3 linked regions of the Rattus norvegicus genome follow. The protein of the gene in region 3 binds, or shares a complex with, the protein of the main gene of each other region. Links are inferred from orthologs where the notes say so. Each region holds a gene or a part of one and is shown on either strand. Other genes may lie near its edges.

Region 1 (10,100 bases), on a different chromosome or scaffold from region 3:
CTTGTTTTGACTGGTTTCTTTATTTTAGAGCTAGATTTCCACTCACTTTCTTAAGCCGGTGAAAAAGTCTTTCCAGGAAAGTTTCCACCAAAGTTGTTTTTATTGGCAGTCGTTCACGTTTCAGAATGCTGTGTAGTCAAACCAGTCAGTGGATTTACTGTTGCTATCCTTTGTGCTGAGATGAGAGCATAACACTTCCAGCACTCAACAGCACTTGGCTTTAAAACCTAGTTTAACCTCCAATAATATTATCCATATTATGACCAACTGCCTAATGTATATAAGAAGCAACGCCCCATGAAGCAGAATAAATTATCCTATTTCTTTAGCCACTTATGCTTTTGATAGCTGCAGTTATGTTGTTCCTTACTTTATTGAATTCTCTTAGAAAACTACACAGGGACAACCACCACAAACTGTGTGGGGTGTGTGTGTGTAATTTCCGAATTGCAAATCACACCGATCCGAGTTTTGATTGTAGTGTAATTGCTTCATGGATCCTCTTTATGTGTGAATTCTTCCTGACAATTACAATAGTCAAAATATCCTTGGAAGTCAAGTATGTCTTTTTCTTTTTAGATAGTCTTACATTGCTAAATTCATGGCCTTAGGCTATCCCTTACCACAGCATCTTAAGTAACAGGGACTACAGTCATTCACCACACCCAAGTTTCCTTCAGCACAGAGCATAAAGGAGGCACAGGATGGGGTAGATTGAGTTAATGCAAGAGCATTCTCACAGCAGGCTCAGCAGAAGCATGTGTGACAGTCCTTTAGTCTTCGTCATCCTGACTAGCCGCTATACTAAACTAGACTAAACACCTCCTAGCAAGGTGTTTACAGGAGCCTTGCTTGTTCCTTGACCCAGAACTGATCTTATTCTGCATGTAAATAAAGTGGTATAAAAGCAGATAGGAAAATAAAACACATGCTTCAGCCTCAAAACTGGCTGGAGTCATGTTAAATGTTGTCTGATGGTCTTTTTTTCTTTCTAATCCTCACTGCTGCCCTGGAGAGCCTGCTGGCTTGGTCAGAACGGCTGATCTATACAGTGAGAGAATGGGAGATGGGGAGATGATCAGGTCAGTAAAGAGCCTGCCGTGTAAGTGTGAGGACCTGGATCCCCAGCACCTTAGCAAAACAGGAGGTGGTGGTTCCTTTCTGTAACTCTAATGGTGGAGTAGGGGTGGGACACTGGGGAGTGGTGACAGGCTTTCTGGCTAGCTATTCTAGCTAGTCGGTGAGCCTCAGGTTCAGTGAGACTGCCTCAGGAAACAAGATGAAGAACCACAGAGGAAGTCACCCAACTTAAAACTCTGATCCACACACAAATGGGGACCTCTGCAGTTTCATGCACCAACACGTGCGCGCGCACGCGCGCGCGCGCACACACACACTGTCACTCAACACACATACAAATATGAAACGATACCCCAAGAAGAATTTTGCTCCTCTGATTCTCAACCAAAATCAATCATTTTTTTCCCCATTCAATGAATTGTTCTATATATTTTATATATTAGATATTTGGGGATATGATGATGAATTAAACATTTCTATGCTTTTATCTAGTTGCAAATACAAATACAGTAAGAAGCAATTCCTATGACAGGAGAAAGAGAGAGAACTACTGGAATCATCAAGGTTTACAGATACAAAAAGAAAACATGAAAGAAATCAAAAACAAATTTTACAACTCTTAAGGTTGAAGAAATGCTGGAAGAAAGGTAACGAAATGACAACAGTCACTGGTCATGGGGCAAGGCCTGCCTTATTTATTGTTCTCTGTAATCACAGGTAACTTAATGTTTTATTATTTTGAGGGAAAATATGTAAATCCGATTTACATTTTTAGAGAGATTATACTAATTACACTATGGAAACTGGATAAGACTGCACCAAAGTATGTGACACCAGTTAAGAGGCGAGTGATGGATCAGAGCTGGAGAGATGGCTTGGCAGGTTAGGACAAAGCTTGACGCCCTCTTCTGGCCTTTTCAGGCACTGCCCTCTTTGGAGCCTGGACTGAAGGTTAACAAGAGAATGGAGTAAAATGGACAATGAGATTTAGACAGGCTTTGAGAAATAATGTATTTAAGTCTGTGTGTGCACAGAAATAAGATGAAAGCTGAAACAGTTTGACATACATACATAATTTGACTCAATTCCTAATACATATGACTCAAATTCAATCACTGTATTCAGGTCTAGTGGTATGTTGTTAATGGGAATTATAAAGAATTACATTCAAAGAGATTATGAACACAGCAAGAAACATTTATGAAAGAAAAGCCAGTATTTGCGGAGCAGATGCGTCAAGGAAGTGGAACTAGACAGACAGACAGACCCTAAGATGGAAGTGAAGCAGGGTTTTTAAGATGGGGAAGGACGTGGGAGATTTTTAGTATCTTTCTACAAGAATGCTACAAAGAAGTCAAGCTGTGAGGATTTAAAAAGATGAACACAAGTGTTCTGTTTTATTTTTTGTTTTTTTTTTCCAGATTGGAGATGGCTCACTGGTTAAGAGCATGTTAAACATGCTCCTACAGAAGACCCAGATTCTGCTGGGCTTGGTGTTGAAGCTTCAAGGGAAGAGGCAGGGGGATATCTGTGAGTTCCAGGCCAGCTTGGTTTACAAAGCAAATTCCAGGACAGCCAGAGTGGTCACACAGAGAAACCTTGTTTTGAAAAACCAAACAACAACAAAAACACCAAACAAAACACCCCCCCTCCCAGACAACTCCCCCCTTCCCCGAACCCAACCAACCCAGATTCAATCATAGCACCTACATCAGGCAGATCATAACTCTAGCTCCAGGGATCTACTGCCCTTTGTTTCCATAGGCACGGCAGTCATGTATACACACTCACATACAAACACATACAATAATACAAATAAACCCCAAATAATACAAAAAATAATAAAAATAAGTCTCAAAAAAGGTTTTACAATTTTCCTTTCTTTTATTTTTTTTTTCCAAGACAGAGTTTCTCTGTGTAACCTTGGCTGTCCTGGAAATCATTCTGACGACCAGGCTGGCCTCCAACTCACGAGTTTGCTTGCTTCTGCCACTCAAGTGCTGGGATTAAAGGTATATGCCATGATTTCTGGCTACCAGTGATCTTTTAAATTTCCAGTCTTTCCCCCCTCGGCCAGTCATATTGTTCCCTACAGATTGTTTGATAAGTCTTTTTTCCTATAATTTAAATGTGTATTATGTGTATTTGCTGTGGGTTTGTGAATGTTTAAAGTGCAGACCCGTGAAGGCCAGGAGTGGCTGGTGGATCTCCTGAAGCTGGAGATACAGGGGGTGGGATTAAAACCATGCACTGCTTCAGCAGAGGAACAGAGTTCAGTTCCCAGCACCCACCTCAGGCAGGTCAGAACCCAATACTTTCTGGATGTAGTTTTGTATGTACTTCTGTGAGTATATGCCATGTGCGTGCAGGGACCTGCAGAGGCCAGAAGAGTACACCACATTCCCTGGAGTTATAGGCTGTTAAGAGCCACCCAATGTGGGTAATGGGACCTGAACTTGGGTTCTCTGTAAGGACAGCAAGTGCTCTTAGCTACTAAGCCATCTCTACCCCATCATCTCCCACCCGAGGTCACACAAATTAGAAAAAAAAAAAGTAACATATGCCTATTTAAAGTACATCTATGACTTAGGCATTAAAGAAGGGTTTAACTTTTGTTGCTTCGCAAGTAGGTTTTTTTTTTTTTAAAGTTTTTATTTTATTTGTAAGGGTGCTCTATCTGCATGTCTATCTGTGCATTGTGTGCGCAGTGCCCAGAAAAGCCAGAAGAGGAAGTAGGATCCCCGTGGCATTGGAACTACAGACAGTTGTTAGTCACTGAGTGAGGGCTGGGACTTGAACCTGGGTCCTCCAAAAGTGCACCTAGTGCTCTTAACTGGCAAGCCATCTCTCCAGCTCCAAGACTTGTTTTTTTTTTTTTTTTGAAATCCATACCAAGAATATATGGTTGTCGTATTGGATGTCAAATGGACATCGGCGATCTTGGCTAAAGTAATTTTGGTGATAACTCAGTAGGATGTTGGCAACGACATTGCAGTATGGTTCTTAGCTAGAAGCAGCAAGTAGGAAAAGGAGGCTGAAATGGCTCATCAAAAAAAAAAAAAAAAAAAAAAGTGTCTGCTATCAAGCCTAAGGACCTGAGTTTGATCCCTAAGATCCTCATAGTGGAAGGAGAGAATTGTAGCCCAGGAGTTGTCCTCTAACTTCTACTACATGTGTTTTGTGGCATGCCACACAATACAACAAACAAGTAAATGCAAAAATAAAGTTTAAAAGACAGAAGGCACTGAGAAACAGAAGGTAATAGCAGTGGGAAGGTAAAGGTCCTGTCCTCTCTAAAAACAAAGGGGGCACATTTTCTTTTTTCAATACAAAGGAAGGAGATTTATATATTTGCTTGCAGAAAATTCCTTTCTTCTGTGTAATGTATTTCCAAGCCAAAATCTCAAATAAATGCTGAAAAAAAAAAAAAAAAGCTTTTCGAGTGACCCGACTTCTCAACCAGGAAGTTAAAGCTTCAGTACTAAACAAATCCATGACATCCACTCATCCACTCATCACGCTTCCATACTCCAAGCCGCCTTTTCCGTTTACAGCCCTGTCACCTGTCTCGTGAGAAGCTGCTACACCCTTCTCACAGTCTCCCCATCCCAGGCTAGCTCGTCCAGGCACCACCCTATAAAGAAAGCGTTCTCTTAGCGTCATCGGGGGATTTGCCCTCCACGGCCAAACCTGGGGGCTGACAAGTTCAAGTCGTCGGTACCCCACCTCACTGTAGATGTCATTTCTCGCGCCTGGAGTCCAGGGTCCGAGAACCCTACGTGGCAGGTGCACCGCTCCCTTCCGGCCCAGCTGACTAGGAAGCCCGGGTGTGAGGGGGAAGGCGCGGCCCTGGTGCACAGCAGCAGGGACACTCCTGGAGCCCCAGAGAGAGTCCCGAGCCGGAGCTATGCAGTCTGTTCCCCGGCTTTTGAGATGTCTCCAACCCGGAGACTCCCCGCCCTCACACTCACCCCGACACCTGGGCGAGTCAGTGATTCGGTGCCGGGTCCTCTCTGAACCGAAGCTGAAGCAGCAGAGAAAGCCGCGAGGACCCCGCGCTTGGAGTGCCCAACACACTGCCTGACTAGCAGCCTCCGAGGCGCCGAGGAGGTCAGCGGGACTAGAAAGAAACAACGAGCGGAAAGGCGTTCAGCGAGAGGCACGGTGTCTCCGGAGGTTGAGGCTCTGAATCTTCCACATTACTCAGGGTCTGGAGGAACAGGGAGATTGGCACTCCCTGAGCGCAGGCGCTCACCCGCAGCCTAACTGCGTTTTGGGTCCCTTACCGTAGTAAATGAGGTCCTGGAGGGACGGGACTTCAGACGCGCGTAGAGCCAATGGTGACAGACCAGAGTCACGGATTGGGCGGAGTTCAGGGAGGCGGGGCTTAGTGGAAAGGGGGCGGGGACGAGCAGAGGGGCGGGGCCACCGGGCTGAGGGGCGGGACGCGCGGCAGAGCCAAACCGCGGTGAGAGTGCGAAGATGGCAGCTGCGGACGAGCCGAAGCCCAAGAAGCTCAAGGTGGAAGCGCCAGAAGCGCTGAGGTGAGAGCAACCCTGCGTGGGGGAGGAGGGAGAAGGCACTTGCAGCGAGCCAAGGCCCACGTGGGCTGGCGCAGCCGGATGGTGACTGCGTTCGTGGGGCCAACCCGCAGGACCTGCAGCTCGGGGAGTTGCCCGCGTGGCTGCTGTTCCCCTCAGTGCCCTCTGGTTCTGGACTCTGCTCAGGTGCATACTCGGCCCTGGCAGCCATTGACCAATCAGAGCACCTGGTCCGGGGGCTGAGTCTTCCTCTGGCGCCACGTGCGAGCCTTCGCGGGCCGCGCTAGCGCGACCCTAAAGGACCTATTTGGAGCTGCATCCTTTCCTAGGGTATTTAGCGGGAAGGCGCCCGGCGCCTCCTGGACCCTGGTAAAAGATAACATTCTTGGAATTTTTTCAGTAGGCGTTGCAGAGCGTTTTGACCTTTTCTGTCAGCTCTCTGAAATTATCTTTGGAGACCCCCTCGCCCCAGGGACCCCCAATTCACCTCAGAGGCTTTGCTAGGGTAGCATTTGGCTAATTGGTTAGAAAAGTTCTTGTTTGTTTTTCTTTTTTTTCCCTTTGCATATTTGATAGGAATGGAGAGCTCTCCCAATACCTGACGCACATGTAATTGGTGTTGCGACTTTCACTTATAAAAAGCCGTTTGTTAAAAAGAAATTTCTTCCTAATAAGTATAAAGTCCGGCGCGTTCAGTGTCTGATGACTTTGAAGTGTTCATTGGAAGGCAGTGATTTTGCTACTAAAAATAGACGCATCAAACTGATTTAAAACCGTGGGGGCTCTTACTGATTATACAAAACAAATTCCATTTATTTCAACATCTCTTTATCATGTTCAAAAAGAGAGTTTATTCACAACATTTATTCACAACTGAAAAGAAAAGGTTAGTTGGGGGTCCCAAATCATGTTCTTGGTTGGAATGGTGATGACCAAATCCCTTTTAGTGGCTTTACTGTATGCCTATTATTCTTAGGTCATTGTGCATGTCTAATACTACAAACGTAAAACATGAGAAACAAAACCAACTGAGGATGTTTTATTTTAAATTTTAGATTATCTGGGCCGGTGGGATGGCTCAGCAGATAAAGGCATTTGCTGCCCAGTTGGATGACCTGAGTTCAGTCAGACTCCAGGACCCACATGGTGGACGGAGTGAACCTATTCTTCTGTTGCTCTCTGGCCCCTCCCCACTAAATAAAACAGATACTGTCTCCTTAGATTTTTCTTTTAATAAAAGTAAGAGTTTGTATATGATCCCTTTTAACAGTGCTTACCATCTGAAGTAATGGTATAAAAGCCTCTATGAAAGAAAGGCAGGGATTAATCAAATTTTATAGGTGCGGAAGCTCAAATAAAACATTTAAGGAAGGAAAATTTGAACTCAGGGCATGAGGTTCAGGCTTATTATTTTGTTCTAGTGTGTTTGCACAACATCCAAGACATGCTTTGGTTTCTCTTTAAATGATCCATGGTAATGTTTACTACTTAGATATGTATATGCCAGTCTCATTCTACATATTTTAACTCAATGCCATAACAACCTGGTAAGAACATTTCTATAATTATCTCAATTTTACCAAAAATGGAACAGCCACATATCTGTCTATTTAAAATTGTAAATAATTTAGTCAAATAAAGTTCACTTCCCAGAATGCTAACCTACTGCTTTCTGCAGAGGCGAAGTTCAAAGATTAGTCGTTTTGACTATGGGGACACAGCTCTTTAATGCTATGCAGAGAACTTTGAGTCGACTGTTCCTCCTTTTATTAGTTTACCTTTCATGAAGGATAGCTGAATGAGAGTGCATTTGGACTGGATTACTCTTATGATTTTCCTGGCAGTTAAGAGATTTCTACCAATTTTGTTTAACTGTTAATACATTTTGTTTAACAGCTTATAAATTGTGAGTGCAGTTTAATTATAGATTCCGTGGAGGACAAGTCAATTAATAAAAGTATTTATAGAGGTTTGGAAGAGAATTTAGGAATTTGGGAGTTGTCAGTTATCTTTAGGGAAATAGTTCTTTCTATTTATGTGTGTGTGTGTTTGTGTGAATGTGCATCACTTGTGTGCCAGAAGAGGGCTTTGGATGCCCTGGATCTAGACTTAAAGAGAGCCGAGAGCCATCTGATGTGGGTGCTGGGAACCAAATTCAGCTCTTCTGGAAGAGCAGTTTGCTCTTAACCATTGAGCCATCCATCCTTCCAGCCTAGGAAGTGATTCTTAACTAGAGGGAATTTTATCTTAGAAGGAACATTGAGTAAAGTTTAAAGATGCTGCCAGAGAGCTAGTGAGATGGCTCAGAGAGGAAGAGTGCTTGCTGCCGAGAACCTAATGAGCTGGGTCAATCCAGAGCCAGGACCCATGTGGTGGCTTGAATAGGAATGGCCCATAATGAGTGGTGCTGTTAGGAGGTATGACTTTGTTGGAGTGGGTGTGGCTTTGTTGCAGGAAATGTGTCACTATTTGGGGCGGGCTTTCAGGACTTATATGCTCAAACTAGGCATAGTGCCGTAGTATTCTCCTGTCACTTATGGATGAAGACTAGAACTCTCAGCTCCTTCTCCAGCACCATTCCAGTCTGCCGGCCACCATGCTTTCCACCATGATGATAATGAACTAAACCTCCAAAAGCCAGGCCCAATTAAATGTTTCCCTTTGTAAGAGTTGCCATAGACACGGTGTCTCTTCACAGCAATGAAACCCTAACTAAGACAGGCCATTTGCACTCGGTACAAACAACTAAATGTAATTTAAAACAAGCAACAAGCTGCCTTGGTGGCCCATGTCTTTAATCCCAGCAGTCTGGAGGCAGAGGCAGGCTCCGGTCCCTTTGTAAATCATATCTGACAGCTATCGAGATTTCCTTGTTTTGTTCCCCTATCATGTTGCTCCCACTAATGTATAAAGGTGCTTCTGGGCATCTTAACAGTACAGAAGACATCCCTCTATGCTGGAGATTGTCAGTATTGTTAAGAGTGAAAAACTGCTTGGTGGGGGGATCTGACAAGATTTCTGCCTTATTCTTTACTGTTGCTAAGGTTTCAAAGAGTCAGATTGTAACATGTTTTCAGTTGGACTTTGAGGAGAAAGAAACTGAGTATCAGACATTTACACAAGGACTACTCAAGTTTCTTTTCTCTCCTTTGGAATCCTATCCAAGCTCACTGCTTCAGCGGTCACCTCTAAGAAGACACAGTACCTTCCAAGTAGTGTTGAACGCATGCCCAGTTTGTTCTTTCTGTCTGTCAAGTATGTGCTATTTTAAGCGTAGTGCTAGGAACTGGGGATGGAGAGAAAGGAAAAGGTAAGATCCAGGTGCTAGTCTCCTTCTAACAAAGTGGAACTTGTGAAAGATGAGACCTGAGCATTATTCAGCTGACTAGAGGTTAACCAGGTGGGAAGCAAGGCATGTGCCTTTACAGGGAAATTCGGAAGGCAGGGCTTCCGTTGGGGATGGGAGACGAGATGACCCGGCCTGACTGGAGCAGAAGGTAGTAAGTGTCTAGGCTTCAATTTGGGCATTTTCATATGTGAGACCCCTATCTGTCTCACAGGTCTCACAGTTTCATGTACCCCAGGCTGGCCTTGAGCTCCGTTTGGAACCAGAGATGGCTCACAACTTCTGTCCTGTCCTCCCCCATTTCACCTCACCAGTGCTGGGGTTTACAGGCTGCTATTACATACAGTCCTCAGAAGCTAGTTCTGACTGTTGAATTTCTCTAAGTGACTTGCTGATCTTTAAGATTACATCTATGCAGGCAAATCCATCTCTTGTCCTACATCTTGGCCTTCTCCCACGGCCCCTGTATCAGTTAGTGGCACTACTAACCTCCTTTTGTCTAAGTTCAGACTTTACGTTGGCCGAGATTTCTTCTTAGCTTTCCGATTCTGTGCCCTCCAATTACAAGTTCCGTCTTACCTACTGTACACACAGCTCTACTTAATCATTAGCGTAAATATTCGTAAGCCGTGGACTTGGTATTAGGAAAGATTGACTCCTAAAAGCCAGTTACCACGATTCTGGCATTAAAGATTGTTCAGAGGGTATAGGGAAGGATGGATCAGTTGGTAAAACATTTCCCCGTAAGCAGGGGATCTGGGTTCTATGCCCAGAAAACATAAAAATGCCAAGTGTAGTGGTGGACTTCTACTCGAAGGCTGCACTGGGAAGGTGACACAGAATCTGTAGGTTGATTACAAGCTGCAGGCTAATGTGTCAGTGTGTCAATGAGACAGTGTGTCAAAAGGAGGTTGACTACATATTCCCTTAGCATGATACCTAAGGTTGTCCTCTGGGATCTATAGGTACAGAACACACAGATATATACACATACAGACACACAGACACAGACACACACAGAGGCACGTACGCATGCACATACACACACAGACACACACATACACAGAGGTACATACGCATGCACCCACTAAAGATTGTTTACCGGTCATATCTTTTAATATTACTTAAAAGGA
Region 2 (10,175 bases), on a different chromosome or scaffold from region 3:
AAAAAAAAAAAAAAAAAAAAAAAAAAGCCTCATCTATTAATAAAGAGAACTAAGGCTAGACAGAATGTAAAATGGAGTAGGATTATTACAGTGGGAAAGAGCGAGCTAACCCAGGGATGCATTTCGAATATACCAGGGATAATTGGTGGTGATTCATAAGTGTTTGGAGAAGGAGGTCAGGTCTAGGAATAGAAGTCTAGCTGGAGAACGGAATTCCTGCTGATGGCAGACAGATGACCACCACACCAAGGGAGGGAGGGATCAACTTTGATTAGATATGGAGGGTGGAATATTCTTGCTAAAAATAACTTTACAAAGAACTGAGATAGATGTAGGTCCAGCAGAAGTCAGAAGGCTGCAAAGTTTGGTCAAGAAAAGAATCTTTTTCATTAACAAAATAAAATAATATGTCGATATTTAAAGCAAGGTAACTCTGTGTGGCATATGAGAGACAAAGGGGATGGATAAAGAGACCTAAGAGAATACAAAGAGGAAAAAAATAAGGTATAGGGCTGGAGAGGTGACTCTGATTAGGAGCACTAGGTGCCCTTCCAGAGGCCCCCGGTTCTGTTCCCAGCAGCTACATGGTAGCTCACAACTGTCTGTAGCTCCAGTTCCAGGAGATCTGACACCCTCAGACATACACAGATGCAGGTAGAGCACTATGCCCATAAAGTAGCTAAACAAATCTTTAAAAAGACATAAGATGACATTGATTTTAATTTGCATTAGGAGAAACACACACACATATTGTGCTTGGAGAACAAGTTCAATACATACAAACGTTTTTCTTTTTTTGATACAGGGTCTTGATATGTAGTTCCAGCTGTCCTTGCATGCACTGTTATATAACACAGACCTTGAACTCACAGAGATCTGCCTGCCTCTGCCTCCCAAGTGCTGGGAGTAAAGGTGTGGGCCACCAAGCCCAGCATCCAAATTTATCATATATTAGCATGATGGTTTAGATGAAAAAAAATGGAAATCAGAATATTACATGAAGGTTTTGGTGAGTATTGCAGAAAAATCATGGAAAAATAACCTTGTATTTTTGAAAAAAGTATTTATTTCAACACACACACACACACACACACACACACAATGTACATGAGGGTAGGAAAGAAATCTGGCTTAGGTTTGGTAATAGATTTGATTCTTTGGTTCTTTCTCAAGTGTTTCTTCTGGACAGTTAGCATTTATAATTTTTTATTAGAAAGCTTTAGGGCTATATAAAAGTTTTAAATTCTGGAGGAGTGGAAGATTAGACTTCTGCATAGGGAGTTAAAATTTTACTCTTTCTGTACAGATAGACAATCTTATAATTAGGGAGGTCTAGGTCTCTCCTTGTCCACTTCCTCATGTTTTCAGAATGTGCTGGCTGGTTTTATGTCAGCTTGACACAAGCTCGGGCCACTGGAGAGGAGGGAACCTCAATTGGAGACATGTCTCATGTTGTGGTGACTGCCCCTCCCCCCATCAAATCATTTTTGTTGCTACTTCCTGAATTTTGTTACTGTTATGAATCGTAATGTAAATTTCTGATAAGCAACACCTGAAGGGATTGTGATCCACAGGTGGAGAACAGCTGCTGTATGGGGCATTTTCTTTCTTTTTTTTTTTTTCTCTTTTCTTTTTTTTTCGGAGCTGGGGACCGAACCCAGGGCCTTGCGCTTGCTAGGCAAGCACTCTACCACTGAGCTAAATCCCCAACCCCTGGGCATTTTCTTACTTAGTGATTGATGTGGGCCTACCCCACCATGGATGGTGCCATCCCTGGCTGGTGGTCTTGGGTTCCATTAGAAAGCCGACAGCGGGGGCTGGAGAGATGGCTCAGTGGTTAAGAGCACTGACTACTCTTTCAAAGGTCCTGAGTTCAAATCCCAGCAACCACATGGTGGCTCACAACCAACTGTAATGGAATCTGATGCTCTCTTCTGGGGTGTGTCTGAAGACAGCTACAGTGTACTCATAAATAATAAATAAATTAATTAAAAAAAAAAAGCAAGCAGACAGCGCAAGCAATGGAGCAAGCCAGTAAGCAGCACCCATTCACTGCCATGCATCAGCTCCTGCTTCCAGGATCCTGTGAGTTCCTGTCCTGACTTCCTTTAATGATGGACAGCATGAGGAAGTGTAAGCCAAATAAATAAACCCTTCCCTCCCCAACTTGCTTTGGTCATGGTGTTTCATTACAGCAACAGAAACAGAGAAGGAGAATTTTATGTTTTTCCAAAGGACATAGGCTTTATATCTTTATAAAATATTCCAGGAAGGAGGAAAAAAATAAATTACCCAATACTGTTTCTTTTTCTTGAGAAACATAACAGCTTTGACAGCCCGTCCCATTCCAAGGACAAGCTAAACAGAATAAAGCAAGACTTCCCCCACAACTTTCCAAAGCACAGGTCAACTGTTTACACGAGTCTGTATGAAAACGAAACAAAACAACAACCAGTGAAAATCCAGCAGCTTGTTAAAGAAAGAGAGACTTGAGAATGAGTCCTTTTCAAGTGGGGTGTGCTGGTGCACCGCAGACTTGGCAGCTTAAGGCAGGAGGATTGCAGGTTCCAGGCCAGGCAGGGCTACAGAGTGAGACCCTGTCTCTAAAAACATAATAAACCTTTTTCATAAGAAAATGAACTATTCGAGATAAATTGGATTAACAGGTTTGTGTGCAATTCTAAGACAATAAAAAGCACCTGGGGAGGGGGAAACACATGAAAGATAACCATATTCATTATCGACATGAACATATAAATTAATTATAATACAAGTATCTATATGACATTTATGACAAAATTATGAGAATGTGAGGAAATCCCTCTCATTCATAAATGTTAGGAAAGCAATTTAGAATATCTAATAAAGGTGTATATATTCTAAAATTAAAAAATTATATACTCAGGTCTATTTTGTAGTGAGGATGTGTACAGCATTGCCATTACTTGACAGATAAAGTAAGCAAGTCCTAGTGTCTTTCCGTAGTAAACGAATTAATTCATGCACACCACTTAGAATAGTGTATGGGGTATAAGTTAAGCATCATATAACATCATATAACACCTCATCACCGTCGATCAGTCGTAGGAGAGATTCCACCAATATCATCTATACCGGGAAGCAATGTATTTGAGATGCTCTAACACACATGTTATCTGGACAGGTTCATTGAAAGGTTAACTAACTGCCAACATTTGATCAGTTTGGAGGCTCCTCTCCCTCCTGGCACTAGGGAGGATCATGTTTTCAGAAAGACGACGCGATATTTCAGTCAGGTAGAGAAATATTGGTGGGACCCGGGTTGGTGTTTGCCGGGTGCTACCATTGGGTTTTGGTGATTGTCTGTCGGGCTCCAGGTATTCAGTCCTTTCTGGACCGTAGGTGTAGGGAATGAGGAACGAAGGAACCATAGTCACCAGGGAGGCCGGCTGGTGAGGCTCCTCTTAGAAAGCTGCCCGGGGCAGGAGGGCTGCAGCTACCGCGACCACAAACCATCCCACCTAGCTGCTTAGGGGATGTTGGAAAGTTATTTGCCAAAGAGTGGGAGCAGGTGGCTCCCAGAGGCGAGCGCACTCCGGCACCTCGCCGAGGCGCTCGGGGCAGCTGACTGCGGGCAGGACGCACGCCTAGAACTCCAAGTGAGAACCTCAAGCCCCAGGAATACTTAGCCAAAGCTTGCCCGTGGATGATCGCCTCGGTGCAGAGCCTGCAAGCCTTCCCGGGAGGAGGAGCTTTCAAGTCTAGAACGTCAGTGGTCTGGCCACGCTGGCTAAGAGAGGGGCGGGAACCTGCCCTAAAGGTTGAGAACTCGTGACCACCGAAGCTAAATTCGTCTGGCGTGTGCTCGGTGTTTCAGGAGGATTCCGGGAGCGATCAGCGGACAACAGAAGTGAAGCAAAGAACCTTGAAGGGTCTGAGATCTCCTCCAGCAAAACGCATCCAAGGGCCTCAAATCCAGTACTTTACTTGCCCACTACCCTCCGGCAAACTCGGTGCAAAAACCACAGCTTCCTGTTAAGGGTCTCGGGTGCAGCTTCCCGGCGGCCTCTAACACCCGGAGCGCGAGAATCCAGCGCTCCCGGAGCGGCAGGCGCCGGCCCGCGCGGACTCAGTGCGCACGCGCAGGGGGTGGGCCGCCCGGCCGGCTGGAGCGGTGACGAGCCCGGAAGCGCCGGCGCGCGCCCCCTCCGCACCAGAACTAGTTTTGTTCGGTGTCCTCGGAACGCCAGCCACCCGGAGAGAACCCCGCAAGCTCCCGCCCGCACCCGCCCGCTGGCCGGCACCGCCGCAATGTCTAGCAACAGTTTCGCCTACAACGAGCAGTCCGGAGGAGGGGAGGCGGCGGAGCTGGGGCAGGAGGCCACCTCGACCATCTCTTCCTCGGGCGCCTTCGGCCTCTTCAGCAGCGATTGGAAGAAGTGAGGACCCGGGCTCGGGGTGCGGGAGCGCTGCGGGGACGCTAGGCGGCCACCCGGCTGCTCTCGGTTCCGGAGGAACCTCCCTGCGGTCCCCGCTGCAGTGGGTGGGTGGGTGGGGTAGCCCCGCCGGCTGCGGGGCTTGTTCGGAACGTCTGGGGACGCCAAAGGCGACGCCGGTGGTTTTCAAACTTTGGTGGGGGAAAGGAAAACCGGTTGTTGAGCTGAGGTTCCACTTCCCAAACCGTTGACAGAGTTGATCTGGGCTGAGCACAGGAGCTTGAATTTTGAACTAGTGAATCAAACTAGTGGACAGGATCAGACCTCGAGAAAGTCATTTATTTAAAGGTGACGAGAGTATTTGGGGAAGGGGGTTGAGAGTGGGCCTGCTGCTTATTTGGACCCTGCAATATAAGGACTAAGAGGTGGGGTTCTCTATGAATGACAGCTTTGTTTTTTTAAAACCCTTTGGCGTTTTCTTACACCGTGATCTTTGCACCAGAGTACTCTTTCCCCCGCCCTCTAAGGCATTGAGATAATATTTAAATAGAGTGTTGCTGTGAACCAAACCTAATTCTAGTTATTTACAAATAGTATGAATTTTAAAAATAATCACTAACCACTTTTGTAAACAGTTACTTAGGGTTCACAGCAAATACCGCCCAGAATTGAAAACATCCTTAGCGGATTCAGTTTTAGTTTAGTTTTTTTGTGGGGTGGGGTGGGGTGGGCTTTGCTTTGTCGTGGTTCCTCCCCACCCCTTGCTTTCTGACAGGGTCTCACTATGTAACCTTGGCTGATCTGGAACTCACTAGGTAGAGCAGGCTGGCCTGAAAAATCAGAGAAATCCTCCTGTCTCTGCTACCCCAGTGCACAAACCACCATGCCATTTTATGTTTTTCTTATTTTTGATCTCTTATTGTTACATAGTGCAGGAAAACATAATAAACCGTCACTTAAGGTAAGGAAACTGGACTGATAGTCTTGTGGGTGTTAAGGGGTATAATTAAAATAAGAATTTGTGGATTAGACAGCTCAGGCTGGTCCCCAACTGGAACTTGCCATTCTCCTGTGTCTGCCTCCCAGGTGCTAATAGTTGAAATTGAGGTGAAAATTCGACTCTATTGACTAACATCTTGCATAAAGCATATAAATTATTTGTGTTCATTATTTCCAGGATATGAATGTTTAAAACATGATTGCTGTAAATCTGTCTTTGTGTGCATTTGTGTGACTGACTGATCCAACAAGGCGTTTATTATAACTACATTTCCCTCAGTAGAAGGTTTCAGTAGTTGAATTTGCATGTGACTTGTGTACACTTAGTCTACTTTTCTAATCTCTAAGCATCTAAGGTGTTTTTTCTTTCCGGCTATGTAAAATTTGGGAAGAATGCATGCCTCACAGCTGAAGTTAGGGTTGAAGTAAAATGAGCGAACCTTGAGTGCTTGTGCATGGACACTCATAATTAACATCTTCAGTGTGTTTCTGCATGCCGGGGCCTTGCCTAGGCCAGTGCTCTGCCACCAAGCTACATCCCTAGTCCTCAGTCTTTAGTGGGCTGTTCCTAGTACTTCCATGATTCCACTTTAAGGGTGAGGAAACGGGAGTCTAGTTGGTTAATTTGCCCAAGGTCACGAAGCTGTCAAATTTGAACCTAGACATTATAATCTCAGTTCTTTCTTTTTTTTTTTTTTTTTTTTCAGTTCTTTCTTTAATGTGTTTGCGTATGCTATTAACTCCTTGAAATCAATGCTATTTTTTCTTTTCTTTTCTTTTTTTTTCCGGAGCTGGGGACCGAACCCAGGGCCTTGTGCTTGCTAGGCAAGCGCTCTACCACTGAGCTAAATCCCCAACCCTGTTGTTTTTTTTTTTTTTTTTTTTTTTTTTTTTTAATTAGGGAATGCATACAGCTCACCAAAAGTTTAAAGTTTTGCATAGTAGCCATAGATCCTATATGACTTCTGGCTTTCAGGAACTGAAACATTTTGGCTACTGAGCTGCAGTTTAATGGAGTCAGTCGTGTAGAAAGCAACAGACTCCTATTCTGGAAGTGGCCACCTAGTCTCTCCTGAGCTCTCATTAAAAACATTTGTCTTTCAAAATAGGATCTCACTATGTAGCTCAGGCTGGCCTCAAACTTGTAATCCTTCTGCCTTAGATTCTTGAATGCTTGGATTTCTGGGTGTGACCTATCACACCTGGACATTTTGCTCCACTTTTTAATGGATTACTTTGTAATAGCTTCTTTTCCTTTTGTCTTTGACTTTAAAATCATTTCAGTTTTTATGCCCCCAGCATTTGTCAGGAGAACCACTCTATGTAAAGTCACTGGTTATCATTTTAGATTTTACTTTTTCACTTGCGTTGGTGTGTGGGTTTGTGTGGTACCCTCGGAGGCCAGAAGAAGGCCTGGAACTGGTGTTAACAGGCATACGGTGCTGGAACTGAAACTGGGGTCTTCTGAAGATCAGTGTGGACTCTCAGCCGCTGAGCTCTCTCTCCAGTCTGGAGCCACAGTCAAAACAGTCACTGTGCTCCCCTGCCCCTCCTGTCTCCTTCCCTCTTCTCTCTGCCTTACCCCTTTCCTTTCACATTCACACACACACTTCTCTACACACATGTCACATGCATTGTTGTCTTCTGAACCGTGGAGATTATGTTTAGATCGTGCCCTTTACCCTTAAAACCTTAGTATCTGTTTTTGGTAATAAAAACAGTCCCTTAAGTCGTCAGATATGATCAAGGAGTTAACACTGGTACAGGAGATATCGTGCTAGTCAACAGGCCTTTGCTGGAGTCCCATCATCTTTGGGTTTGAGTTTCCGACACTGATTTGAGCACAGTGTCGTAATGTGTCATCTGTTGTGCCTAGAGACACAAGGTACCCAATCTTCCTAAGTTTCCCAGTTAAGGGCTTTTCTGGTAGCTTGATTTCTATTTTTACCCCCTTCCCCAATCTGGGTTTCTTGGGAGATAGCTCGAGACCATTTGGCTAGCTTTTACATTAAAGTCTTCAGCAGCCAGCCATGAAGTTTTTGTTATAGAGATGGGCCTCTGTGTGTGTGCAGGTAAGTGTAGGTGATTAAGGAGGGCAGCAGAGGGCAGCAGATGCCCTAGGGTTGGAGTAGGCGTGGCTGTGATGTGGATTGGTAGCCTAAGATACAGTCTCCTGAACCTGCCTGCTGCTGTGGCTGAGTGGGGTGCCCTGCTCCCTGTGTCCTCTGCCGTGCACTCTCTCGTTGTGTGTTCTTTAGTACTTCACTGACTGTTCCAAATACGTCTAATCTCTTCCTGATCAGTCACTGATTTTTGTTCTCAGACTCTATTTGAAATTTTGTAACCCTTCTCATCCTTCAAACAAAACCAGAACGGGAAGCTTACATTGCCTATGAATGCATATCCCCCTCAGCATATAGCTTTTGTGAATCATCCCAGTGCATTACTTTACTGGCCTTACAATGTTCTTCACTTTTAAATGTAAAGAGCTAACTTCTGCCCCCTGGCCCCCGCCGCTTTATTTTGGAATAGTCTATATTTCCATTGCTTTTAGTTATCACCTAAGTCATTTGTCTTTATTTTTCAAAAAAAAAAAAGAAAAAAGAAAAAAAAAAGAAAAAGAACCTTCCTTACCTTAGTCCATTTGGGTGTATATATAAAGAAATAATTTCAATTTCTTCTGGCTTACCATCTAATTGCAAAGTAGTTTCTAGATGAAGGGTAAGACTAGTCAATTTTCTGATTTTCTTCTGAATTTCTAAGTGTCTTTTTATGTATCTCATTAAAAAAATTAGAGCAATCATTTAAAACAATTTTATTGCCACGCAGTAATTTTATATATGTGTGTGTGTATATGTATATACATATATATATACACATATACATATACATATATATATTTATGGTGTTCATGGTGGCATTTCAACATGTGTATACATTACAAACTGATCAAACCAGGGTAAATTAGCAATTCTGTCTCCTTATTTTTTTTGTGTACAGCCTTTGGCTCCTTTCTTGTTTCTCACAACTGTGAAGTAGTTCATTGAGGATTATAACTGGCTTACTGTACTATGGCAGTGTCTTAGTTACTGTTCTGTTGCTGTAAGGAGACACCATGACCAAGGCAACTTTTGTAAAAGAAAGCGTTTAACTGGGAGTTTGCTTCAGTTTCAGAGTGTTAGTCCATGATCATCCTGGTATACACAGGCCTGACACTGGAGCAGTCATTGAGAACATCCCATCCTGATCTGCAGGTAGCAGGCAGAGGGAGCAAGACTGGTCCTGGTGTGGGCTTTTGAAACCCTAGAGCCAGTCCCAGAAGCATATCTTCTCCAGCAAAACCACACCTTCTCTAACAAGCACACACCCGATCCTTCCCAAACAGTTTCACGAAGTGGGACCAAGCATTGCACATACGAGCCTATGGGAGCCATTCTCATTCAGACCATCACAGGGGACTAGAACTCCTTTCATCTAACTAGTTTGGTAGTCATCCAGCTCCTCTCTTTTCCCCTCTCAGTTCAACAGAAACATACGAGTGATTGCAAATGTGTGATGCTGGTTATGCTGGAGCACAGGGTTTCCCAAGTCTCCCCTTCCTAGAGAGCATTGTGCTATTAGAGAGTCACAGGAGGCAGAAGGTTTAAGTTAATGCTTTCCAGTGATAGCAGCTCAGCTATCACTCTTGCTCAGCTTGGTTGAGTTCTTCACATTTCCGTTTCCTTGTTTCTAGAAAGGCGTGGTAATACTTGCCTGTTCTGGGAGATTTTTTGTAAGACAGCGTATTTAAAGGAGAGCTCTCATCTTCCCTCTCCCCTTTCTCTTTCTCTCCTTCCTCTTTCCTTCTTTCCCTTCCCTGTCCATTCTTCCTGTCTGTCTGTCTAGAGCTATGATCTCCTATTGTTCAGGCTGGCCCGGAACTCACTGTGTAGACAGATTAGCAGTCCTTTTCCCTCAGCCCCTCTGTAGTCCTGGGATGACAAGCATGAGTCACTGTGTGCAGAAGAGGGTGAGTTTTCTTTCTTTCTTTCTTTTTTTTTTTTTTTTTGGTTCTTTTTTTTCAGAGCTAGGGACCGAACGAGGGTGAGTTTTCTAACCTAGAATCAAAACTAGGAAAACGTGCCAGAGTGCCACTGAAGTGCTGGTGCTGCAGCCTGAGGTCTGAGGAGCCTTGCCACACGGGTGAAAGAGGGAGCTTATTTAGGGCCAGAGAGCTGCAGGAAAGGACCCACATCCGAATGAAAGCAAGGTGGGCCTCCATGTTCTCAGCAGCAGCTAGGGAAGCTTGGGGGTGGTTGAACCACCCAGGCAGACTGTTAGAAGATGGGCAGTGCACATAAAACCCATTTGCCTCTGAATAGAAGACTCTGGAAAGAGTGCAGGGGGTAAATGGAATGGAGGCCGCAGCGGGCCCTTGCATGTAATAATTAAAGATTAGCAACCAGGAATTCAGCAATCCGTCCCTACTGACTGAATTACATTGAAAGGTGAAAGGTTTAGCCCTCTGCTGATGTTGGAGTGGATTTGTTACTTTAGATTCAAAGAGCATTTTTAGAGACTACCTGAGGGCTGCCTGTTTTCTCTGTTTCCCTGAAATGGGAGTTAGATTACGTGCGTTATCATTACATGCATTACCAGCTTTGTGGTGGCAGCTTTGAGCATTCCCTCCCTCCCTCCGTTCCTCCCTCCCTCCCGTCTTTAATCTCAGTGCTTCTCACTGCTGCTGAGTCTGGAGACCACACTCACCTGGTTTGTATGAAG
Region 3 (9,945 bases):
GTGAGAATGGGTCCAGGTGATCCAGACGATGGCTGCCCAGCTCAGGGTCCTCAGTGTGACCCCCGTCTGCATAGTCCCTTCTGCCACTTAAGGACACAAGTCCACAGGTCTCACAATTAGCACATGGGTACCTCTGGTGAACAAAAGTCACTTCACATCACCCAAAGTCAAAGCAAGAATGAGCCAGGGGCTGGGGATCGTATGGCTGTAGCAGAGAAACCAGAAGAAGCTAAAGACAGGTAAGTCAATGTGGATGTCTGGGGAACCTGGAAAATGCGGGGAATTCTGGAGACTAAATGGAGCCAGTCCCAGTCTGGACTCAGAGAGCAGGACAGGGAGACTAACACCCAATAGAAAAAGGAGCTGAAGCCTCTGCATAGGCAAGTAAGTAGAGCAGAGAGAACAGGATCTAAGAAGTTGAGGCAGGAGGATCTTGAGTTCAAAGGCCAGCCTGAGCAACTTTGCCTAACCCTCAAAGTGAAAAGTAAAAAGAGGGTTGGAGTGGGACTCAGGGGTGCAGCCCCTGCCCAGAACCCCCCAATGAGGGGGTGAGGGTAGGAGGTGGCTCAGGGGCAAAGAATATACCTAAAATTGGTACAGACCAGCCAGTACAAAAAGGCCAACCTGGGCAACACAGCATGACTGTCTAAAAGCAAAAAATTAAAATAAAAAATAACAGGGGCTGGGGATTTAGCTCAGTGGTAGAGCGCTTACCTAGGAAGCGCAAGGCCCTGGGTTCGGTCCCCAGCTCCGAAAAAAAGAACCAAAAAAAAAAAAAAAAAAAAAATAAGAGAGCACAAGTCATTTGTGCTGAGCACAGGATAAGCAGGGCAAAGAATGGTCATGGCAAAGGACACAAGCAGCCTGGGGTACGGGTTAGGTCGCCTCAGGTCCCAAGCCCCAGGGACAGCTGGGAGCTCCCAGCCTCTCAAAGAGCCTGGCTAGTACTTCACAAGCAGGAGTCCAACCCAGAAAGGAGACCTGCCGCTCACCCTGAGACAGAGCTGCATATGCCTGAGCTTTAACTGGGAAAATCTCGTTGGTGACTAGACAGAAGCAAGATAGATCTGGTGGTAGCAAGTCCAGCAAGCCCAGGCTATGAGGCTGAATGAAGCATGGTCCCTGGCTAGCACACAATGGTGGTCTCTGGCACACAAGTCACAGATGAGTGGAGTCAGTCTACCTCCTTCCTGAGCAAGGGTAAATACAAGTCTGACAGACCCACCTGGGATGTTACCATCAGTTCTTAATGAGATGCCATTTCTGGTTGAAAGTCCCTAGAAACGTCAACGAGCCAGGCAGTAGAGAAGTACCAACATGGGAAAGGAGTGTCCCCTGGGAATCTCTAACTCCTACCTCTTACAGACACTGCCACTGGAACAAGTAGTCTCCATCTGACCCTTGGAGCTACCCATCAAAGGGAATCAGCTAAAATCCTCATGATTTTAAAATCCACGGCAGAGTTTCAGGAACAACTAGGCTGGGCTGATCACACCACACAGGAGCTGCTGCCAGGATACCCTACAGGTCAAGATGCCTGGGTAAACACAATCAGGTTCCTGAAGACCTGGCAGAGGGCAGAGGCACTAGGGGTGCCCCCTGCAGCACAGATACAGTGTTTTGCTTTCAGTCTTTAGCTTTCTGCAAGGTACCTAACAGACATGGGGTCTCATGCCTGCTACGTAAACACTCATGGAAGCTGTGGCTTTGGAGCGGGGGAAGGGGAGTGGGAAGGATACTTTGGTGGGACAAGACAGAGCGATGGTACAGCAGTTAACAGCGCTTGCTGCTCTTGCAGAGGACCTAAATTGGGTTCACAGCACCCATGTCCAGTGGTTCACAACACCTCTAACTCCAGCTCCAGGAGATCCAAAGACCTCATCTGGTTCTGCAGATGCCTCTACACAAGACAGACAGATACACATATACACAAAAGGGAAAGAAAAAAAATTATATATATATATATATACATATATATATATATATATATATATATATGTATATTACCCGGCTGGAGAGATGGCTCAGTGGTTAAGAGCACTGACTGTTCTTCCAGAGATCCTGAGTTCAAATCCCAGCAACCACATGGTGGCTCACAACCATCTGTAATGGGATGCCATTTTCCGGTGTGTCCAAAGAGAGCAACAAACAGTGTACTCACATACATAAGATAAATAAATAAGTATTAAAATAGACACACAGACACACACAGACACACAGACACACACACACACACACACACACGGATACATTAGTAAGACAAAAAATTCATTGGGCATGTTACTGTACACCAACAATCCAGCATTGGGGAAGTAGAGACAGGTGAGTGTGAGTTCAAGACCAGCCTAATCTAGAGTGAGTTGTTGCCCCCCCCCCCCGAAGTTAGAGTACAACCATCTCGAAAGGGCTGCAGAGATAGAGCAGACAAGGACTTGCTGCTCTTCTAGGGGACCCGGGTTTAATTCCCTGCATCCACTTGAGGCTCTCCATCCATAGCTATCGCCACCACACCTGGCAATAATTTTTTTTTTTTAAATACAAAGATCATCTCAGGCTACAGAGATGGATCAGTGGTTAAGAGCACTGTCTTCGGGCTGGAGAGATGGCTCAGCGGTTAAGAGCACCCGACTGCTCTTCCAGAGGTCATGAGTTCAATTCCCAGCAACCACATGGTGGCTCACAACCATCTGTAAAGAGATCTGGTGTATCTGAAGACAGCTACAGTGTACTCATATATAATAAATAAAATAAATATTTAAAAAAAAAAAAAAAAAAAGCACTGTCTTCTCTCCTGAGGTCCTGAGTTCAATTCCCAGCAACCACACAGTGGCTCACAGCCATCTGTAATGGGATGCAGTGATGCCCTCTTCTGGTGTCTGAGACAGTGACAGTGGATTCACATACATAAAATAAATAAATATTAAAAAAAATCATCTCAAGCTGGGCATGGTGGCATATGCCTTTGATGCCAGCACTCTAGAGGCAGGCAGATCTCTGTGAATTCAAAGCCAGCCTGGTCTACAGAGTGAGTTCCAGGATAGCCAGGGCTACACAGAGAAACCCTGTCTTGGTTAAAAAAAAACAAAAAACAAAAAACAAAAAAGATCACCTCAAAACAAAACTAAAACCCCACAAAACTTCCAAGTGCACATACCAGCATTTTAAGTACTTGTAAGGCAGAAGAGTTATAACCGCCAGGGTTATACAGTGAGACCTATGTCAACCAGAGTGTAGAGCAGAGAATGGTCACTGCATGACTTGTGCTACAAGCTTGGCCAGAAGGCAATGCACTACATCAGCACCTCCAAAGGAGAGTACCTGCAGTCCGCAATGAGCCGGATAACACGCACAGGAACTTAAAGATGGTCCCTGAGGAGGGACAGAGGACCCAAGCAACCTCAGACTGGCCAGCCATGTTGGTTGGGAGAGATGGTTCAGCTGTTAAAGGTAGACTCACAACCAAAATCTTAGCACCCAGCAGCAGAAGCCACATAGAACCTGAGGGCCTGGAGGGCTTTCTGTGCCCACCTAGTCTGCACTACTGAGCCTTGCATGTATGGCAGGGTAGGGAATATGAAGAGCAAAACACACACACCTCAAAATCAGTAATCCCGGCAGGAAGAAGGACAAGGCAGGAGTATCATGAGCTTCCAGCCAGCCCAGGCTATGTCCCTGGCTAGAGCTTGTTTCAGGTACTCAAATTAGAATGTGACCGGTCTCAGGGTCCCAAGACAGCTCCCTGGGGACACTGACAAGAGGGAAACCTGGAGGCCCTCGAGAGCACAGAGGGCCACAGAAGAGTACAAAGGAAATTTCACATAGGGCAGTCCATGCACAGGCCAACCACACACTGGCCAACCAGCTATTTCACCTGAAGTAACAGCCAGGGAGAGCAGGGAGGGTACAAACCAGACCAGGTAGGGTAGAAGGGAGAGGGCTACAGAGGGCTGACTGTCCCAGCCAGGGGCCTGCTTCCTGACCTCACATAGCAAGCAGGGGCCAGCAGGTACCTGTCACGGACACCCTCTTTCAGCATGGCCTTCCTGCCCCGGAGGAAGCCTGTCTTTCCACTGAGCCAGGCACTGGGCAGCCACTCTATCACTTCTTCCTTAATCTAGGTCACAGACTGTGGGGAGGAAAGGAAGTAATGCTCGTGGTCACAGCCTAACTTCTGGAAAAAAAATTGCTTCCACACCCTGACTTTTGCCTTTTTTGAGCTTCCAGTTTTAAAGTCAGGCTTCTCCATTCCAACACGCCCCTAGGTCCTGCAAACACTGATAGTTCAGGGGATCTGAGGCAGGGACACCTGGCAAGTTCCCAAGTAAGCCCAAGACAGCAACCTGGACCTATGTCCCCGGACAAGGGAATTTCTCCATGGGAGACACGTAGACCTATGACTTGATTTTTCTGTGAGGGTCCCGATTCCTCCATATGTGATCCAGAAACAAGCCCAAGTGGGAGAACCTTTGCCTAAGTAAATCTTCTCCAAGAAGGTAAACTCAGGCTCAAGCAGTGCACCCAACTGTAAGGCCTAAGACGCTTAGGTCTTATGACAGCGACTGCTCCAAGTGGACATTTGGGAGGCTCCGGGAGTGGACCCTAGTTATAACAGACGAGGCACCTGAGCCGTTTTGGACAGCATCCATTTCAAGCTGGTGGGGGTAAACAGAGGCCAGGGGAAGGAGAGGTTGTGCAGAGCCGCAGCTCCTAAACAGGCAGGGCCGGAATGGCGATGGGGTCGAGGAGGCTGCTCCAAGGCGGGCCAGAGGCTATAGGCTGTGGGGAAAAGCCGGGCAACCCCACTCCGCGCCGGCTCACCTCGTCCTCCTTGTGGTTGCGGATGCCGCGGACCAGATCCTGCAGGTTCTTGTCGAACATGCGGTCGATACTGCCCTTGACCATCTTGAGGGCCATCGCGGCGGCCCGTGGGCTGTGGCCTCCGAGGGGAACGCCGCCGCCGCGGCCCTGGGAGGTGCGGGGACCCGGCGACCGCACCTCAGGCGACCGCCCCGCTGCGTTTCCGGCCGCCGCGGAGAGGACGACGTGGAGGCCAGAGCGACGGCTGTGGCCGGAGACCAGTCTGAGGAGAAGGGGCAGCGAGTTAGCCCCCGCTTCCGCAGACCCTTCCCTGCTCAGGGCCACCCGCAAATGGCGGCCAAGATGGCGGTGGGTCAGCTGACGGAGAGCCTCGGCGTCCCGGAAGCCCCGCCTCACCAGAAAGCCCGACCCCACACATCAGTTTCCTTGACAACCATATACCGCCCAATAAGAAAGCAGACACCGCCCTTTGATGCCTGGCGGCCCACCCCTTCCTCTGCAGTGCCTTGCAACCTCATTGGTGAGCAAGCTCCCCACATACACGTTCTAACCACGCCCCTAAGGGAAAACCGCGAGCCAGCCTCCCCACTCAGCTAAATAACAGCAGTGGGCGTGGACAGGGTTGGAGTGGGCGTGGCTAGAGGAGGGCGGGGCTCCACGTGGAGCTTTTTCTGCAAGGTCCGGGTAAAGTATATCCAGCTCCTCCTTTTCTGAAGTGGTGACTTGGGAATTGGTGTCAAGAGTCAGTTACACCAGACCAGCAGTCTAACCGGCCGTCCTGTGCTATGTGAAACGCTGTCGGAAAAGACCAACACAAGGCTTGGATGGTGAACACCATGTAGGAGGAACTGTGGGGGGCAAGTGAGTTTTCCTGGAGATGGTCCACCGTTTTGGACAGCTGTGATGGGTGTTCCTGAAGAGGCACAGCCCCTGAGGCGGTCATCTCTAGATTACCTCTCGCTGCTGCTGTGCCGCCTCATGTTTGTCATTGCTATATGTCTCCTGTATCTACTACGATGTTAATGGGCATCTCTCCAGCCCTTAAATAGTTTTAAGATGTTAGGGTAGTTGATAGAAAGTTTAAAGAGATGGTTTAGGTTGTTTTGCCTTCTAGAAAGATATAATAGGGCTGGAGAGATGGCTCGGTGATTAAGAGCACTGACTGCTCTTCCAGAGGTCCTGAGTTCAAATCCCAGCAACCACATGGTGGCTCACAACATCTGTAATGAGATCTGATGCCTTCTTCTAGTGTGTCTGAAGACAGCTACAGTGTTCTCATATACATAAAATAAATAAAATTTAAAAAAAATCTCTGATGGCACTGGGTGTCAATTCCCAAGGATCTAGTGTCAATTCTCAGATCCTAATGGAGGCACAACTGTGTAACTGCAGTTCCAGGGGATCCAAGCACTTTTCTGGCTTCCACAGCCACGAGGAACGAATGGTGAATGTGAATATACATGCAGGCAAAACACACAAGAGAAAATAAATATATCCAAAGTAAAAATTTTAAGTAGTATTTTAGACATTTTAGCCAGGCAAAAGGACTGCTGAGGGCCCAGTCTGGCTGCCATGTGGAGTTTCAGGGCACAGTGCTCAGCAGAGAGACACTGTCTCAGTCAGGTGAGCATGTCAGTGTGGTGGCTAAGGAGGCCAAGGCAAGAGGATCGGAGACTGCGATCACACAAGATAAATAGACAAGATGAGAAAGGCTGGGGAAAAGGTTAACTTGTCGTCCTATCACTGAAGAAAGCGCAGGCAGGAGGATCAGAAGCTCAGGTTTTATCAGGCTGCAGTGTTGTTGTAACAATATAAAAAATAAAAGGCTCTAGGTCCAGCACCACAGTGCCCCAAGATAGCTGCTGGATATCTTTCAGTCAGCAAAGCGTCTTACCCGCTCTGCTCCACCCCATATAACACTGTCAAAGGCCTCTCTCTGAGCCTGGCAGTAATCTCTCTACCTATCTAGTTCCCAAGGCAGGTTTCCATGCCAGAAACACACATCCCAAGTCTGTGGCGGCCCAGACCAGCCGCCGCACACTTTCTTACACTTAAATCTACACAAGAAAGAACACACAATAACCTTTGGCCCAACTGATAAGATATAAATGCCCACCTAAAATTACCAAGCGCAATACACATCCATCCTTTAAAAACATTTGTGGGGTTGGGGACTTGGCTCAGTGGTAGAGCGCTTGCCTAGCAACCGCAAGGCCCTGGGTTCGGTCCCCAGCTCCAAAAAAGAAAAACATTTGTAACAACCTGTAAAGGTTCAGTGTGGAATCTTAACGTCACCTGCCATATTGTCTTGCCAAGGCTTCTCTCCCTCTCCCTCCTGACTCTTCCTCCTTTCCCTTCCAGTCTCCTCCTCTTCCTTCAAACTTTTCTCCCGCCCATCCTTCCTTCTCGTCCAATGACAGGCCTCCTTCTATCTTGTACCTACCTCACCTGTGACATCATCCCACACTGCAGAGTGAATTTAAGGCCTGAACTACAAGAGAGAGAGAAGCCCTGGCAGGACAATATGGCGGGTGACGTTAAGACTCCACGCTGCACCTTTACAGGTTGTTACGAATGTTCTTAAGGGATGGATGGTACTGGCTTTGTATGTTTAGGTGGGCAATTATATCTTATCAATTGGGTCAAAGATTTATTTTATTTATTTATTTATTTTTTGGTTCTTTTTTTCGGAGCTGGGGACCGAACCCAGGGCCTTGTGCTTCCTAGGCAAGCGCTCTACCACTGAGCTAAATCCCCAACCCCGGGTCAAAGATTTAAAAAAGAGAGAGAGAGGGCTGGAGAGACGGCTCAGTGGTTAAGAGAACTGGCTGTTCTTCCAGAGGTCCTGAGTTCAATTCCCAGCAACCACATGGTAGCTCACAACCATCTGTAATGGGATCCGATGCCCTCTTCTGGTGTGCATGAAGACAACAACAGTGTTCTTATATATAATAAGTGAATAAATCTTTAAAAAAAAGAGAGAGAGAGAGAGAGAAAGAGACTAAATTAATCTGCCCTGAGAGGCAGAGGCAAGAGGTCTCAACGGATTTAAGGCCAGCATACATAGTGGCTTAGGCCAGCATCAGCTTCCTAGAGACACACTGTGGAGTACAAAGTGTATGCCCGACAGGCAGGAGTTCTGAGTTCCACCCAAGTGAAGTGGAAACATCTTCAGATATGTCAGATGATGTCTTGCTATAGCAGACACGTGAAACGACACGTCATACAGGATTGTAAATCTGTGAAAGGACACGTCATAGAGGAATGTATTCTGACCCCACAGACAGTTGAGCTGGGGCAGTTGTTTCCTTTGCTCTGCCTCACTAGGCTTTGCTAACAACAGGCATGTATTGGTTTGCCTTACATAGTCGCTGAGTTCTGCTTGTGGTGATGCCAAGGAAATTCAAAGGACTCTCAGGAGGTTCCTGTGGTTTCTTGCAGCTTCTGTGGCCTCGGGCTGGTTGGGGAGCCTTACGGCTCCTTCTGGATTGAATCGAACTTGCTGGTTCACGTGTGGTGTCTGCTGAGGGAACTGGACAACAGCTGCTGATTCATATTTGGGGTTTTACTAGAGGACTGGACTGCTGATATCTTGACAACGAAGATTGGACTTGCTCCCAAAGAACTATTTCTAAGTAGTTCTCGATGAAGAGGCAGAGGAGCAGTTCAGGCCAGCCTGGGTTACTTGACACACCAAAACAAATGAAGAAAGCCATTTGGTAGAAGAGCCTTTGACAGACCAATCTGATAGCACTGAGAGTTCAGGAGTTAGCACATCCCTCAGTGTGGCCAGCAGGGGGCAGTGCTTACCAGGCACAGAGGTGGCAGGCGGCCTGAGCTGGTGGACCTGGCCAGAGATTCAAGGCTGTGTTATTAATCACATGGAATATCTTCACTTATTTATAAGCAGTCATTCTAAGTACCCATCAAAATCCACCTACCCTGATCTATCCATGCACCCATCCATGCACCCAACCATGTACCTACCTATCCATCCACCCAACCACCCACCCACCCATGCACCCATCCATGCACCCACCCATCCACCCACCCATGCACCATCCATTCATCCACCCACCCACCCCACCCATCCACCCATCCACTTCCCCAAATCCCCACCCATCCATCCATCCACTCAACAACATACTAAGAATCTACTGTATTCCAACTTTAGCAATGAACAAAGATCAAGGCGACATTCAGAGAAAGAAGAAATTCTGGGAAGAGCAGGCAGGCAGACATGGGAACAAAGTGAAGCTCAGAGAGGCTCAGGGCTGGTGACAAAACTCCGACTCACACTTGTCTAGGATGGACAAGGTCCTAGGTTCAAGTTCAAGCAGAAAACAAACAGACATGGCTCAGTCTGCGAAGGAGCAGTGAGCGGTGTGCAGGCAGACGAGCTGCTCTGGCTGGCAGGCTCCAGACGAGCCACTGCTTCTCAGGAGCTTCCACTGAGTGGCTGCAGTGTGCCTGCATGAGCCCTTTTTGTCACTCCTGCGACAGTAGCTGAGGGTCATTGTCCTAGCTAGCACCGACTTTCCAGTTCTCTTGAGAGAACCAGCTGTAGTGAGAAACCACTTACTTACCCCTGATTGGCCAGTAACCATGTTTGGGGGAGATTGTCTTGACCTCTAGCTGAAGAAACAGGCCCAGGGCCGGCCCACTGTACAGTGGGCAGCAGTCCCACTTAAGGCCCCTGACTTGAACTTTTGCCCTTTCTCTGGGAGAGAGAGACAAGCAGTCCCTTCCTTACTTGGGTGGCTTTTGGTCAGCAATTATCACAGCAACAGAAATGCAGCTCAAATGGTCACTTCCGGTTGTTCTCAAAAGCAAAGACTTGTATGAACTGTTTTCTGACCTGTGAAGGCTTCTTCGTGCATATGATTTCCATACATATACTCAGTCCCATGCACATACACACACACACACACACACACACACACACACACACACACACACACATATATCTTTGGCTTTTTTCTTTTTCTTTCTTTCTTTCTTTCTTTCTTTCTTTATTTATTTATTTATTTTTTTGGAACTGGGGACCAAACCCAGGGCCTTGCGTTTGCTAGGCAAGCGCTCTACCACTGAGCTAAATCCCCAACCCCTCTTTTTTCTTTTTTTAAA

Evidence for each region.
Region 1: the proteins of Ap3d1 (region 3) and Ap3m1 are in contact, whole or in part, in a cryo-EM structure (PDB 9C5C), measured with the Homo sapiens proteins. The link is inferred for Rattus norvegicus from reciprocal best matches to the Homo sapiens genes AP3D1 and AP3M1. Residues at the interface, in NP_003929.4 of Homo sapiens: Lys29, Glu388, Gly389, Thr390, Thr391, Arg393, Glu429, Arg432; in NP_001307192.1 of Homo sapiens: Ser25, Ser27, Asp30, Tyr31, Glu34, Pro52, Asp104.
Region 2: the proteins of Ap3d1 (region 3) and Ap3b1 are in contact, whole or in part, in a cryo-EM structure (PDB 9C5C), measured with the Homo sapiens proteins. The link is inferred for Rattus norvegicus from reciprocal best matches to the Homo sapiens genes AP3D1 and AP3B1. Residues at the interface, in NP_003929.4 of Homo sapiens: Lys352, Leu442, Ile446, Ser471, Tyr483, Trp487, Glu491, His517, Ala520, Val521, Gln524, Asn525, Lys528, Val561, Gln562, Ser563, Ala564, Leu566, Glu567, Gln569, Glu570, Arg571, Ser573, Cys574, Gln577, Leu578, His581, Ile582, Leu585, Lys588; in NP_003655.3 of Homo sapiens: Asn75, Lys466, Lys467, Gln470, Val494, Ala497, Ser498, Trp501, Leu531, Leu534, Gln535, Asn538, Lys542, Asn567, Tyr568, Asp569, Asp572, Arg573, Arg575, Phe576, Ile577, Gln579, Leu580, Lys586, Gly588, Ala589, Leu590, Ser591, Tyr593, Lys596.

The regions. Positions count from the first base shown.
Region 1 is NC_086033.1:3,291,196-3,301,295, reverse strand, and holds the start of Ap3m1 (AP-3 complex subunit mu-1), read right to left. Parts: upstream 5,079-10,100; 5' UTR 5,052-5,078; exon of another isoform or gene 4,807-5,051; intron 1-4,806. UniProt on the Homo sapiens protein: Part of the AP-3 complex, an adaptor-related complex which is not clathrin-associated. The complex is associated with the Golgi region as well as more peripheral structures.
Region 2 is NC_086020.1:27,330,740-27,340,914, forward strand, and holds the start of Ap3b1 (AP-3 complex subunit beta-1), read left to right. Parts: upstream 1-4,218; 5' UTR 4,219-4,290; coding exon of another isoform or gene 4,291-4,418; intron 4,419-10,175. UniProt on the Homo sapiens protein: Subunit of non-clathrin- and clathrin-associated adaptor protein complex 3 (AP-3) that plays a role in protein sorting in the late-Golgi/trans-Golgi network (TGN) and/or endosomes.
Region 3 is NC_086025.1:9,616,200-9,626,144, reverse strand, and holds the start of Ap3d1 (AP-3 complex subunit delta-1), read right to left. Parts: upstream 5,151-9,945; 5' UTR 4,915-5,150; coding exon 4,819-4,914; intron 1-4,818. UniProt on the Homo sapiens protein: Part of the AP-3 complex, an adaptor-related complex which is not clathrin-associated. The complex is associated with the Golgi region as well as more peripheral structures.